2 linked regions of the Macaca mulatta genome follow. The protein of the gene in region 2 binds, or shares a complex with, the protein of the main gene of each other region. Links are inferred from orthologs where the notes say so. Each region holds a gene or a part of one and is shown on either strand. Other genes may lie near its edges.

Region 1 (4,310 bases), on a different chromosome or scaffold from region 2:
GCGCGGTGGCTCAAGCCTGTAATCCCAGCACTTTGGGAGGCCGAGGCGGGCGGATCACAAGGTCAGGAGATCGAGACCACAGTGAAACCCCGTCTCTACTAAAAATACAAAAAAAAAATTAGCCGGGCGCGGTGGCAGGCGCCTGTAGTCCCAGCTACTCAGGAGGCTGAGGCAGGAGAATGGCGGGAACCCGGGAGGCGGAGCTTGCAGTGAGCCGAGATCGCGCCACTGCACTCCAGCCTGGGCAACAGCGTGAGACTCCGTCTCAAAAAAAAAAAGAAAAAAAAAAAAAAAGAAGGTTGATCAGCATTAAAAAAGAAAAAAGAAAAAATGAAGTATATTACATGTAGTAGGAAAAGTATTGTTTCATGACTTTTGTTTTAGTGGGTATATGTGTGTGTTGAGCTGTGACTTAAAATGTCTTTCTTAAAAAATTATTTCCTATTTATTTATTTATTTATTTTTAAAAAAAGTTTTTGTAGAGATGAGGTCTTGTTAGGTCACCAAGGCTGGTCTCAAACTCCTGGCCTCAAGTATCCTCCAGCCTCAGTCTGTGTTGGGATTACAGGAGTGAGACACTGCGCTCAGCCTTAAAATGTATTTGTTTTTTGTTTGTTTGTTTGTTTTGGTTTTTTTTTTGAGATGGAGTCTCGCTCTGTTGCCCAGGCTGGAGTGCAATGGCGTGATCTCAGCTCACTGCAACCTCCACCTCCTGGGTTCAAGTGATTCTCCTGCCTCAGTTTCCTTAGTGGCTGGGATTACAGGCACATGCCACCATGCCTGACTAATTTTTTGTACTTTTAGTAGAGACAGGGTTTCACCATGTTGGCCAGGCTGGTCTTGAACACCTGACCTCATGATCTGCCCGCCTCAGCCTCCCAAAGTGCTGGGATTACAGGCATGAGCCACCGTGCCGGCCCTTTAAAATATATTTCTTATGGCTGGGTTGTGGTCAAAACGTTTGAAAGCTATTTCCTTATAGCACCAGCTCTAGGCATCCAGTAGGAGTCTTATGTTGAACTAAAAATGGCATTGGTTGTGCAGGGGGTAGGGGAGAGTAGGCAGTTGAGTTACTATGAAGATCCTTCCTGGAGAGTTCACCCTCTGGCCGATTTGAAAAAAACAAAAGTAAGTTCGGCAAACTTTTACTAGGTATTCATTGTATGCCAGGAACCAAGCACTGCACTCCCTGCCTCTCTGACCTTATCTCCTACTTAACCCTCCTCCATTCTCATGCAACTCCAGCCATACCAACCAACCCTGTTGATCCTTGAGCAGGCATAATTCTGCCTCAGGGCCTTGGTACTTGCTGTTCTGTCCAAAATATTCTTCCCTCAGATAGCCACATGGCTTGTCCCCCACCTTTCTTCACATCTTTGATCAAATATCACCTTTCCAGTGAGACTGTCCCTGACACATACGCCCAACAAACTCATACTCTTTAACTTCCCTGCTTTCTCTCCATTGCAATTTCAATACCTAATATATACTACATATTTTACTTATTTTAAAAAATGTGGCCGGGCACAGTGACTCACACCTGTAATCCCATCACTTTGGGAGGCCGAGGTGGGTGGATCACTTGAGCCAGGAGTTTGAGACCAGCCTGGGCAACATGGCAAAACCCAGTCTCTGCAAAAAATCCAAAACTTAGTGAGGTGTGGTGGTGCATGACTGTAGTCACAGCTACTCAGGAGGCTGGGGCAGCAGGATCACCTGAGCCCAGGGAGGTCGAGGCTGCAGTGAGCTGTGATCGCATCACTGTGTAAGATTTATTAGGTCTGGGGGTTTTGTCTTTCTGTTTGCTGTTTTTTTTCCCTAGTCCTGAGAACACTGCAAGGACCTAAATATTTGTTAACTGAACAGATACTAGGAAGTTCACAGTCTAATGGCGACTTCCCCTTTCTGGACTTCATTTTCCTTTCTTTGTAACCTTAAGGGGTTGGACTAGGGTCTGGAGACTGCCATGGTTCTGTGAGTCGGTGAAGCTGGGATGACAACACTTTGTGTTTGCACGTCATTCTACTGTTTATACCCATTATTTCATTTGACCTTCACAACAACCCACGAGGGAAGCGGGGAGAGGGAAATTGTCTTCTCCTTAGACATGAGGTAAGGAAGCTGAGAGAGGTTAAGCGACTTACCCAAGGTTCCACAACTGATAAGTGGATGGCTGAGACCAGAACCCAAGTCAGACCTCTCAGGTCCAGGGCTCCTTCCTCACCACCACTTGATGAATAGGGTCCTGCCTATTACAAATGCTGCTGCAGACCAACTCTTAGTAATCTTCCGGAGATCCTGTCCCTGCCCCTCCAACCATCCAGGATGGGGTCCAGGTCGCCCCCTTGGGATCCCCTTGGGGGACAGGGGAAGTCTGGCTCCCCTCTCCATACCATGCAGTCCATGAGGATGAATTTGAGATTGTCTTCATTAAATGCTTGGTTCCCGTTCCGGTCGTAGGCGGCCCAGATGTTACTGGCTATGGCAGCGGTGACCCGGGCGTCAGTGTCCCCGTAACCAGAGTAGGCCAGCAGTGATCCCTCGTTATTCAGCAGCCTGGTGAGGGGCGGGGAGGGATAACGATGTGCTCAGCGCGGGGAGTAAAACGTCTGGGTTTCCATCTCAAGTCCCGCCACGGGCACATCCAGCAAGGCTCTCGGCTGAGTGTGTCCCGGAACGTGCCCTAAGCACCCAGCACACCGGCCTCCCTTTTCGAGAGGTGACCTCCCGGCCGGTACCCCCAGCCACTGCCCCCTCTGACGCCTCCTCCCTTCCGGGCGATCCTTCCCCACCCCTCCCTCAGGGAGTCGCACGCCGCTCCACTGCAGCGCGCGCCGCTGGGGTCCGTGGTCCGCACTCACAGGGTGCTCTGGACGCCTCCAGTGTTGGCTTGGCTTAGCACCTGGGTCAAAGCCTTGGGGCGCAGCATGCCTACCGCTCCTAACCCTGGGTTTTTGCACCCAGATCCTCCGAGATGCCTCCCGCGGGCCGCTGCCCGCTGCTTCCCGTAGTCCCGTTGGCCTGCTCCGGGATGCCCTGGGAGTTGTAGTTTCCTCGCCTGGCTATTGTGGTTCCGACTCAACACCGCCCCGCCGCGGGGGTCTCTGGGAATCGTAGTTCCTCGTGACCTCGCGAGGCACCATGGGAACTATAGTTCGCCTTTCCAGGCGGACCACGCGGTTGTGGGGGCGGAAAAGAGCGGGAGTGAAAGGACAGCTGCAGCGCTGGAAGGACATTTAACCCCTTCGGGGAGAAAGGAATCAACGTGTCCGCTTGGCAGTCCACGATTCAATAATTATACTACATCCTCATATTTGTCAGGCGCGCCTTTGGTTACTTTCAAAACAGTTTTCTCCGTTATGCACAATTCTGTGCGATGAGGCGAGAGGTACTATTATTATCTTGAGGAAATCAAGGCTCTGAAAGGCCACGCAGCCAAAACCCAGCTCCCTGGAACCGTTCGCAACAGACCATTTAGGCCGCGACCCTCGGGGCTATAGGGTCAGTCCTAGAGCTGAGATCCTAAGTGGACGTGCTTGGTGGGAAACCCAACCTCCAAGTCGGGAAAGGCCCCTGGCCTGGAAGGGACTTGGGGCTTCCAAGAAAGACCAAGTTATCACAGGGAACGGAGATAAAGCGGCGACACACAAAGTCCTTTGTCCCGGAGCAGAGTTAGCCGCGGAGGGGGCGGGGAGGCTTTGGGCCGGAGGGGACGGCGGCACGGCTCGGGCGAGCAGCGTTGGGCCGCGGTCTCCCGGGGAGTTCGCCCTCGCCCCCGCAGTGAAGGGCACGTCCCTTCCCCCGCCCAGAGCCTCCCCAGGAGCCCCAGCTTGGCGAGACCCTGGCCGGATTCCGGACCTGGGGCTTGGCCCTGGGCGGACCCCGCTGCAGTGGCCCCCCCGGTCCGCCCGGGGCGCTGTGGCTGCGGCTGGTCTGGAGGGGGCGGTGAAGCCTCAGGGAGGGGAGGGGAGAGGAGGGGAGGGGAGGGGAGGGGAGAGGTGGAGAGAGGGGAGTGTTGGAGGCGCAGGAGCCGAGCCGGGCCGGCCGGGCGGGCGGGGAGGAGGAGGAGCCGGGCGGGCTGGCGGGCGGCCGGGTGGCGGCGGCGGCATGGCGGAGCCGAGCGGGGCCGAGACGAGGCCCCCTATTCGGGTCACCGTCAAGACCCCTAAGGACAAGGAGGAAATTGTGATCTGCGATCGAGCCTCGGTCAAGGAGGTAGTACAGCAGGCGGGAGGCGGGGGGAGCGCGGAGGAGGGGTCTGCGAAGAGATGGGGGCCTCCCTGACGGTCTGGCGTCCTGGAGGGCCCCGG
Region 2 (3,814 bases):
GATAGGGTATGGAAGAATATTACAGAACCTTATGAATGAAAAGCAGTGAAAATGTCTGTAATTATGTAATTAAAATTCCTGACATAGAATTGTCTGAGGCTGCCCATTTTTTTGTGAATTGTATCCACTTATAGTTTTATTTCATAGAAAAGAGGTAGAAAACATGTAAGGATGGCCAGGCGTGGTGGCTCACACCTGTAATCCCAGCACTTCGGGAGGCCGAGGTGGGTGGATCATGCGGTCAGGAGATCGAGAGCATCCTGGCTAATACGGTGAAACCCCATCTCTACTAAAAATACAAAAACATAATTAGCCAGGCGTGGTGGTGGGCTCCTGTAGTCCCAGTTACCCGGGAGGCTGAGACTGGAGAATGGCATGAATCCAGGAGGTGGAGCTTACAGTGAGCCGAGATCATGCCACTGCATTCTAGCCCGGGCGGCAGAGCCAGACTCTGTCTCAAAAAAATAAACAAACGAAAAAAAACATGTAAGGAAATGCTAGGATTTTAGTGATGCATTTTCAGTGTGATGTTTTATCATACTGTTTTCTTTTAACTATTCAAGTCTTTGGAATCCAGATGAGTAATTCAGATGTTTTTATTCTCTTTGATGATAGACGGAGTTTGCTCAATACTTTGCCTCGTTTTCCCATTCAGTAATTTGGAAATGTAAGGACCTGCTGGTTGATTCAGTAATGAATTGTGTGATTAAACACTGAAAATAATCCATAATGGGCCTGGCACGGTGGCTCACGCCTGTAATCCCAGCACTTTGGGAAGCCGAGGCGGGTGGATCATGAGGTCAGGAGATCGAGACCATCCTGGCTAAGACCATCCTGGCTAACAGGATGAAACCCCGTCTCCACTAAAAATATAAAAAATTAGCCGGGCGTGGTGGCGGGTGCCTGTAGTCCCAGCTACTCGGATGGCTGAGGCAGGAAAATGGCATGAACTGGGGAGGCGGAGCTTGCAGTGAGCTGAGATTGCGCCACTGCACTCCAGCCTGGGCAACAGAGCGAGACTACATCTCAAAAAAAAGAAAAAGAATCCATAATTTTTGAAGTAAAAGGGCATTTCTGTTTTGTACTTATGATCTACAATAGCTCTTTTGAATGTTACCTTTATTTTAAGTAGTTTTTAACTCCTTCTCAACCGGAAACAATTAACTTTCATTTTAATCCTGGTGTTATATACTCATCCTTTCCACTCTCCTCTGCTTTTTTTGGTGCCATTTGGCCACATGAACATATATACTCTTCTTGCTTACTTTGTCACTACATAAAGGTTTCATGAAGGCAGATTGGAATTTGATCAGATGTATTTTGTTTTCAGATTCTTGCCAGCTCTCATTACTGCAGTTCTGACTAATCATCTTGCCTGGGTTCCAACAGTCATGCCAAATGGACAGCCACCTATAAAAATATTTTTAGAAAAGCATTCCTCTCAGAGTGTGGACATGTTGGCAAAGACTCATCCATATAACCCACTTTGGGCACAACTGGGTATGTAATCTGACAACTGTTACAGTATATATTAAACTTGTTTTGTAGCTATCTGTAATATTTTTATAGCAAAACCAAAAATAAATAAAATGCCTTTACCTCCTGCATTCTAAAGCATCTCTGCTTTGCTTGTCCTTTCATGTCTGGCAATTTATCCTATCCTCATCTTAGACCTGAAATCATTCCTTATAGATGAAGAACTGCAGGTATGGCAAGAGGAGCAGGCTAATAGCTGGTTTACTAGTAACTCCAGATTTTCAGGGTGTTTTATGATTTTGTACTTTGTGTTAGGTACTTTGCAAGAAAGAATGAATCAACAAAGTCACCTGTGATACCTAAAATAAATCTGGTTAGGAGGGAAGCAGTTCACTGAGGTTTCTGTTGATCCACTTTTGTTCACTTGCTGAGTCATTTTGGAAAATGTTTCCCTCAGTGTTAAACACCACTAAACAAGTGGGGGAAGAGGGGAGAGTAAGTGGTTGATAAGTTCATAGGCAATAGGGAGGGATTATAGCAGAGTGCTAAAGACACAGGCTGTGGAGTCAGGCACACCACGTTTGAATCACAGTTTCCTTATTCATAAAGTGGGAATAATAATAGATGATACATACTTTAAAAGTTGTAAAAATTAAATGAGATAATACATGTAAAATGGTTAAGACTGTCTGGTAAACGTAGCTGCTAGTTATTTCTGCTCCTACTCTATTGCTGTTAGATGATGGGAGAAGAGTAAGATGAGAACATTTTGGTGATTGGGTAGTAACTTTCCTTAGGTTGCTCTGGTGATTGACCTTGCCAGGTAGATTGTCATATGGCTTATCAGTTCATATAACCAACCTCCTTCCCTATTGGCTTTCTCCCTTGCTCCCTCCCCCATTCCCTTCCATTTTATTGAGTTATAATTGACATATAGTAAATGCATTTTTTTAATGGAGTCTCACTCTTGCCAAGGCTGGAGTACAGTGGCATGATCATGGCTCACTGCAGCTCCAATCTCCCTGGGATCAAATGATCCCCCTACCTTAGTCACCCAAGTTGCTGGGACTACAGGTGCATACCACCACACTAGGCTAGTTTTTGCATTTTTTGTAGAGATGGGGTTTCGCCATGTTCCCCAGGCTGCTCTCAAACTCTTGGACTCAAGCGATCTGCTCACGTTGGCCTCCCAAGGTGCTGGGATTACAGATGTGAGCCATCACACCCGGCCCAACACATATTTAAAGTACACAATTTGGGCTGGGTGCGGTGGCTCACGCCTGTAATCCTAGCACTTTGGGAGGCTGAGGTGGGTGGATTACTTGAGGTCAGGAATTCGAAACCAGCCTGGCCGACATGGGGAAACCCTGCCTCTACTAAAAATACAAAACAATGGCCAGGTGCAGTGGCTAACGCCTATAATCCCAGCACTTTGGGAGGCTGAGGCGGGTGGATCACAAGGTCAGGAGATTGAGACCATCCTGGCTGACACGGTGAAACCCCATCTCTATTAAAAATACAAAAAATTAGCCGGGCATGGTGGCGGGCGCCTATAGTCCCAGTTATTCGAGAGGCTGAGGCAGGAGAATGGCGTGAATCCAGGAGGCGGAGCTTGCAGTGAGCTGGGATCGCACCACTGCACTCTAGCCTGGGCAACAGTGCAAGACTCCGTCTCAAAAAAAAAAAAAAAAAAAAGAAACCAAAAAAACAATTAGCTGGGCATAGTGGCAGGCGCCTATAATCCCAGCCACTTAGGAGGCTGAGGCAGGAGAATCCCTTGAACCCGGAGGCAGAGGTTGTAGTAAGCCGAGATCATGCCACTGCACCACAGCCTGGGCAACAGAACGAGAATCTGTCTCAAAAAAAAAAAAAGCAATTTGATAAGTTTCGCATATATGCCTCTGAAACCATGACCACAATCAAAACAGTAATCATATTGCATCATTTCCAAAAGTTTCCTTATGCCTTTTTGTAATCTCTTCCTCTTCCTCCCCCTCTTCTTCTCCCCAGTTTCTCTGTTCCTCTTCCACCATCCCTACACAGCCACTGGCTTACTTTCTGTCATGATAGATTACTTGCATTTTCTAGAGTTTTATATGAATGGAATCATGCAGTATATACTTTGCAGATTCACCTATTTTGTGTGTATTAATAGTTTATTCCTTTTTAATGCTGAGTAGTATTCCATTGCACTGACTTTTTAAAAATCAAATTATTAGTAGTATTTTTTAAATTGGGACATTTAAATCCTTTTTTAATTCTACAGTCATTTGTTCACTATCTAAGGCTCTGTGCTATAAAGATGAATGATTTGGAAATTGCCCTCAAGAAGTCAGCA

What was found.
Region 1: FNIP1 (region 2) and LAMTOR2 share a complex: the UniProt entries of both Homo sapiens proteins name them as parts of the lysosomal folliculin complex. The link is inferred for Macaca mulatta from reciprocal best matches to the Homo sapiens genes FNIP1 and LAMTOR2.

Annotation. Positions count from the first base shown.
Region 1 is NC_133406.1:110,879,165-110,883,474, forward strand, and holds the start of LAMTOR2 (ragulator complex protein LAMTOR2), read right to left. Parts: upstream 3,055-4,310; 5' UTR 2,930-3,054; coding exon 2,862-2,929; intron 2,557-2,861; coding exon 2,394-2,556; exon of another isoform or gene 1,376-2,393; intron 17-1,375; exon of another isoform or gene 1-16. Other genes in the region: UBQLN4 (ubiquilin-4), read left to right, coding at 4,108-4,215. UniProt on the Homo sapiens protein: As part of the Ragulator complex it is involved in amino acid sensing and activation of mTORC1, a signaling complex promoting cell growth in response to growth factors, energy levels, and amino acids.
Region 2 is NC_133411.1:140,591,721-140,595,534, reverse strand, and holds part of FNIP1 (folliculin-interacting protein 1), read left to right. Parts: intron 1-1,330; coding exon 1,331-1,500; intron 1,501-3,814. UniProt on the Homo sapiens protein: Binding partner of the GTPase-activating protein FLCN: involved in the cellular response to amino acid availability by regulating the non-canonical mTORC1 signaling cascade controlling the MiT/TFE factors TFEB and TFE3.